Kluyveromyces lactis: one gene and its partner. The protein of the gene in region 2 interacts with the protein of the main gene of each other region in a pairwise test. Links are inferred from orthologs where the notes say so. Each region holds a gene or a part of one and is shown on either strand. Other genes may lie near its edges.

The links.
Region 1: the proteins of CIA1 (region 2) and NAR1 interact in binary tests that used the Saccharomyces cerevisiae proteins (3 or more experiments, as listed by UniProt). The link is inferred for Kluyveromyces lactis from reciprocal best matches to the Saccharomyces cerevisiae genes CIA1 and NAR1.

What each region holds. Positions count from the first base shown.
Region 1 is NC_006040.1:1,673,656-1,677,327, reverse strand, and holds NAR1 (iron-sulfur cluster assembly protein NAR1), read right to left. Parts: upstream 1,922-3,672; coding exon 512-1,921; downstream 1-511. Other genes in the region: kexin KEX2, read left to right, coding at 2,720-3,672. UniProt on the Saccharomyces cerevisiae protein: Essential component of a cytosolic Fe/S protein assembly machinery. Required for maturation of extramitochondrial Fe/S proteins. May play a role in the transfer of pre-assembled Fe/S clusters to target apoproteins.
Region 2 is NC_006041.1:1,944,036-1,947,263, forward strand, and holds CIA1 (iron-sulfur cluster assembly protein CIA1), read right to left. Parts: upstream 1,832-3,228; coding exon 830-1,831; downstream 1-829. Other genes in the region: SNAP receptor PEP12, read left to right, coding at 1-725; CYC2 (oxidoreductase), read left to right, coding at 2,155-3,228. UniProt on the Saccharomyces cerevisiae protein: Essential component of the cytosolic iron-sulfur (Fe/S) protein assembly machinery. Required for the maturation of extramitochondrial Fe/S proteins.

The DNA of each region.
Region 1 (3,672 bases), on a different chromosome or scaffold from region 2:
TTTTTTTTTTCTTTTCAATTCTATGATAATTTTCCTTTGTCGCCGATGTGATTGTCAGCTTTCACCTGAAAGTAGAAAAATGCGTTAGCATCTGAGTGGATAGTTATACCGAGTCCCCACAGTGGCTGCTAAGGCCGGAAAAATCTCGTGCAATTGACACTGAGAAAGCTTATTTACACATACCATAAGAGGGTTGGATGGGATATGTCCACCGGGGTTTCTGTGCGGGTGATTCAACGGATATACTTACTTGAGTAACAGAAAGCCAATTAGATTATCCGAAACACAGCTTAAAAGGTGCAAGGGTTTCAGCAACCTATGATATCATTTTTTTTGGCAGTACAAGATTTCCAATATCGTTGATCATTGTCGTTTAGTGCTGCATGCCACAGATGTGGCAACCTTAGTAATTATCAATAGATAAATAAATATGAATGAGAGCGTATATACGAATGACTATGCGCGCATACTAGGTAATTGGATAAAGATTATGCAAAGGACTATGTTTACCCTACCATGTATTACCTACCGCGACCACGTCTGAAGAAGTAGACGGTTCGATAACGCGGAGGTTGTATTTGAAATCATTGGACTTGTCATCGTATGCATGGACTATGTCAGGGATGTTAACCGAATGAACCTTCGTGTATGCAAGCGATAGGTCTTGGGCAAGTTGTTTACGGCGGTTAGCATTTTTTTCTTCGTTAAGTAAACCACCGCCGTTGATACAGCCGCTTGGACAAGCCATAACCTCGACGAAGTCAGTTTTAGCTGGATCTGCTGTCAAAACCTTTGTAGTCTTTTCTGATGTTTCTCCTGATTTTAACACTGATTGTCCCCGCCTTTTCACTTTAATTCCCCTTTTTTTTACAGACGCTGATTGTGAAAGCTTTCGAACCAAATTTTGTATATTTCTAAACCCATATACCTCACTTGACGAGGCTATTACACCTTTACTCTTAGAAACTAATCTGTACTCGGTCACATCGCTGTTCTTACCTTCAATAGTGATAATATCTGACTCAGGATTCGAGGACTGTAAGGAAAGAAGGTATTGGTACGCATATCCGCCACTGCTACTGCCTTCGTTACTTAACCAGTGAAGTTTATAATCCCATCCGCTGGGACATAACTCTTTTGATGAATCATATTCCGTCATGTAACTCTTGAAATCTATCGAAAGATCTCCGAGCATTGCTACAAATTCCTTTGGTGTTATCACACAATCTACTTCTTTTTCACATTCTTCTCTAGATGCCTCTAGTTTTTTATCAAAACATGGCATTATGCTCAAGTGGTAGCATGTTGGATCTGCTTGTTTCAATAGATTGCCTGTTATTTGCTGAGGTGATTTCACATCTAACATATGAGGTATTAATTCTGGTTTCGTTTTCTCTGCATACAACACAAAACCGGGACAAACACTACACAAAAGAGGGCCTTCATTTTCCGGAACCCTGTCTTTTAAGGTTGCGTTTATCCGGGATATTGAAATAGACCTTCCAAACTGGGTACCAACAACATATTTCGCATTGAACTTGGTTTTCATGAAATTTTGGAAACATCGATCGAGGTCTGCAAGGCACATAGAGTAATAGTCAGCCAACGAAAGTCTACATTGAGGAGATATGCTGACAGCTAGAGATCGTTCATCTAGTTCTTCCAATTCGCTCCATTTTTCTAAGAACACCTTATGGCTTTGCTTCGATAATAAAATCTCTTCTGATGAAGTAATGCAACCAGCACAGGCTAAACAGTCTTGCAAACTGATCGATACCTTCTCAGGCTCACTAGATTCAATGCCAACTTCAACTTCAAATGATGGTTTCTTCTCAACCTTTTGAGGTTGAGCTGGTTTCACACACGCCAAACCTGGGCTTATAAAATCGTTCAAATCGGCATCCCTAAGTAACGCACTCATTGTTTCTTTCTATCTTAAAGATCCTCGAAAAAGAAGCTAAGCAGTAGTAGTGTTTTCAAATAAAATAGTCCTTAGTATGCAACTTGAATCGTTTTTGGCTTTGTATTCTGAACGTTCTTATATGGGCTTCTCTTATGCTACTCTGAGTCCATCACAATGAAATCACTTACTAATAAATCCTCTGTCTCAGTTTCTCTTATAATTTCTTTTGAATTGACTAATCAATATGTCAACATCGCAAGTGTCATGAATAACATATTCTCATTCACGTGACTAAAACTTGATAAAGATACCCGCCTTTGATTTTGTTTACGGCAGAAACTGAGAACAATTATTCTCACCGCCGACATGCTTTCGGTTTGGATTTCTGCTTTAGCATTGAGGTTGAAAATTATATTATTAGATCAGTGCCAAAACTGTGATGTTTTATTATGAACTGAGACATCAGTCGAAAAAGTGGACATAAGAAAGAGATATAGTGAAAGAAATACAAATAAACCCTGCACTTGGCTTTGCTAGAGGTTAAACATAGAAGACCTGTTAACGATTAGGTACGTTTAGAAGACTTTCTTATCGAATCGGGTTGCTCTTTCATGTGTTACACGTCTTTTATACAGCATAAAAATAAAGGCCATTCCAAAAAGTTGTACAATACTAAGGGTCTAGTACAGCTAGACAAATTAGGTGCAATCTCTAAATCAGGATATCAGCTCTACGCCGGGCAAGTCATTGAATAAGATTTTCCACTTACTTATTACCTTTTTCCCTTAATATTCCTTAATTTTCAGAACGATAGTTATGATCCTATCGTCGCAGCTCATGCTAGCTTTAATAGCAGTGTCAGGATACGGTAAAGCAATGCAAGTTCCTAAAAAAGACCACGAAAATAGGCAGTATTTTGCAATTGAATCTTATGATGATGTAGGTAATCTACTAGCGGAACACAGTGACTGGAGTTTCGAGCACGATGTTCGAGGCCTTGCCAATCACTATGTGTTCTCGAAACCGTTGCAGAGTTTGGGTAAACGAGATGCGATTGACACAGGATATTCAGAAAACATCATTGATTTCCACGATCTACCCCCCGTTCAGTTACACAAAAGATTGCCTATTGGGGATTCTAGTATGGAACAAATCCAGAACGCTAGAATTCTTTTCAATATTTCTGATCCATTGTTTGATCAGCAGTGGCACTTGATCAATCCAAACTACCCTGGAAATGACGTTAACGTAACTGGTTTATGGAAAGAAAACATCACTGGCTATGGTGTAGTGGCAGCATTGGTGGATGATGGATTGGATTATGAGAACGAAGATTTAAAAGACAATTTCTGTGTTGAAGGTTCTTGGGATTTTAATGACAACAACCCATTGCCGAAGCCAAGGCTAAAAGATGATTACCATGGTACCCGCTGCGCAGGTGAAATAGCGGCTTTCCGTAATGATATTTGTGGGGTTGGTGTCGCCTATAACTCTAAGGTATCCGGTATCAGAATTTTGTCAGGCCAGATCACAGCCGAAGATGAGGCTGCTTCATTAATTTATGGACTAGACGTTAATGATATTTACTCTTGCTCGTGGGGTCCATCTGATGACGGTAAAACTATGCAAGCGCCGGATACATTAGTAAAAAAGGCAATCATAAAAGGTGTAACAGAAGGACGAGATGCAAAAGGTGCACTATATGTATTTGCGAGTGGGAATGGTGGTATGTTTGGCGACAGCTGCAACTTTGACGGCTACACAAACTC
Region 2 (3,228 bases):
TTTCAACTATGAACCACTTTGTAACGGCTTTGGAAACGAATGTATCCCACGGTAAATCTAACACTAAAGTTATCGACAATATCAATAAGAAGACGGTTGAACTAATAGACAAAAGTACAAAATTAGTATCATCGATAAACGAGAATATTCATAAAGTTAATGAGTTAGAGGAGTCGGCTTTGGATAAGCCTCATTTGATCACAAGGGAGAAGTTGACTAGGGATGCGAAATTCTCTGTACAGGAATTCAAGAAATATCAACAACATTTTCTTGAAGTTACAAAGCGGATAAATGACATGGCCAAAGTGGCTTTGGAAGATGAAGAACAAAATAATTCCTTGATGGATACTGTTTTAAGAGAGGAAGAAGATGAACACGCAAAAAGAACACAGGTGGTTATAGAGCGAGAACCAATAAATAATGAGGAATTTGCATACCAGCAACATCTGATCAGGGAACGAGACCAAGAGATATCAAACATAGAACAAGGTATAACGGAATTAAATGGCATATTCAAGGACTTAGGTGGTTTAGTGCAACAGCAAGGGCAGCTAGTAGATAGCATTGAAGCTAATTTGTACAATGTAGAAGATAATACCAGAAATGCAGCAAATGAGTTATCTCGCGCTATGAGATCCGGACGCAGTTCAAGTAAGCTAAAACTACATTTCCTTTTCATACTATTGTTTTTCCTTCTTCTCACAATACTGGCTGTTTTCAGTTGAATGAATGGTATTCATGAGGCGTCATGGATGCCTCCATTTTATGTAATTTTTATGCAGGTTATACTAGGTTACAAATCAGATATTGATAAAGTCCGGCAAAGAAGCTAATTCTCATCGAATTTCCATACGTTAACATGACCGTCGTCACCAGCAGTTATCAATAAGATGACATCTTTAGAGCCATACTCTACCCATTTCACCATATTTGTTTCATAAACTCCGTGTGTTAATTCGTGAATGCACTCAACTATCCAGCCATCTTCCGATTCCTTGTATATAACTAGACGTCCGTCAGAACCGGTACTAGCAATATACCCCTTAGGACTCCAGTTAACACTGTAGACTGCCCTTGTATGAGCCTTCGGTAGAATTGATTCTTGGATCCATTCTTGCTCGTATTCTCCGTTATCATCTTCGAGACACCATATTCTGACGGTCCCATCATCGCTACCACTGCATAGCCTGACGTTGGAATTAGATTTCTCGAAATCTGAAGACCACACAGTCCCTTCATGCCCGTTAAGTACAGCACAACATTCCCAATCATCATCACAATCCTTCCAAATACGCACCGTGTCATCATAGGAACTGGATGCCAATAAGGGAAGCGATTGATGCCATATTACGTGCTTTACATCTTGTGAATGTTCTTGTAGAACACTGATACATTCGAACTCTTCGCCCATTTCATCAGCTTCCCAAATCCAAACGCTCTTATCCCTCGAACAAGTAGCTAATAATTCACCATCATGAGACCATGCCACACATTTAATTTCATTCTCATGACCCTCTATAATGGCTAATAACTCCGTTTCCAGATCATTCTCATCGTTGTATCCATCATCGTCCTTGCCCCAAATCGATACAGTGGAATCAAACGAACCAGCAGCCAAGATATTAGAATGAGGCCTCCACGCAACACTTCTAACAGTCTTCTTATGTGCAGTATCATCCAATTCCTCGATAATTTGAAAAGAACGTATATCAACTAGTTTAATCTTTCTGTCGGTACTTCCAGTTGCCATAATTCCACCATTATTAACGTCGACGCTCCAGCACTTATCATCATGCAATGCAAGCGACTTCAATAACTTCAACCCAGCCATCGTTCAGTTCTAATACGGCACTTATACTAATTGCAGGTATCCTTGTTCTTTGGATTATCAATAAAACACCAAGTGTGTTATGCATATGGCTACTATCATAAGTTTGGATCTCTTTGTCTTAATTATTATAAGTTCTTATATTTCAAATCTTTTCAGATATTGCAAGGAAGACTCATGCATAAAGAATCGATACATATGAATGATAACACTGGCATAATTGACCTGGAAAGTCATTAGTGTGGTTCTTCAATAATTGATACTCTCCTTTGATACGCCAAAAGGCGATTCTAACCTGTGAATACACGACATCAGAATCTTATAAGATGAAATTGTTACTTGGAAGCATCAAAAGATTATCGTCGTCATCGAAAACAACTCTACCTCAACCTTCTGCTGGTAAGTCTTCTTCGCTATTGAAAACAGTTCTGCTACTGTCTGGCTCTGTTGCAATCGGTGCGCTATCATGGAACTACTACAAGGAGAGTTTATATCAAAGGGAGTTATCAAGGGATTACTTCTCGAAGTACAAAATCAGCAAGAAGTATTCCATTGATCAGGATCACTATTTGATCGAATTGACACCTTTGAAAGCACAGAAGGTTAATCTTTGGAAAGAAATGAACTCTTCAAAACTCTGGTCAGTCGAAGTTAAACAGCCAGAGATTATGGTTGTTAGAAGCTACACACCTCTGCCTCTGACAATCGAAGAAAACGGAGCCGTTGAAGTACTTCGAGATGAGGAAAACGCCAGCGGCGCATTAACTTTCTACATTAAACAGTATAAACAGGGAGAAGTGGCTCGTTGGATTAACCATCTACCTTTGGGACATGTACTTGAGCTGCGTGGACCGTTTGTAGAATATGAATTCCCTGATACTGCCGATGAGATCACGAGAGATAGATCGTTCTTATGGGGGAATGAAGATTGTGTCAAAGACAATTACAAGTACCAACCATTCGATATATTGTTCTTTACTGGAGGCACAGGTATCGTTCCTTTATTACAAATGACTTTAACTGAGTCACCATTCAGAGGTAAGATTGGTGCTTATCATAGTTGTAAATCACTTACCGAATTAGGGCCGTTGAATAGTATTCTAACAAAACTTCAAGATAACGACAGAATCGAATTACATACACATGAGAGTAACCGGATTTCGATTCCTTTGCAATCTGATCCTGCCATGGAAGGAATACCTTCTCCTTATCCATACGGTGGTAATGAGCCGTTTACCTCGTTAGACTCAAAAGTGAGGCCAGTTCTCTCTCTTGTATGCGGTCCAGGTGGATTTATTTCCACGGTTTCAGGGCCAAAGTACGATTTGGTACAAGGCCCAATCAAAGGAATACTAGCTGCTCGTGGTTGGGATAATTCAAACGTATATAAGTTGTCGTGA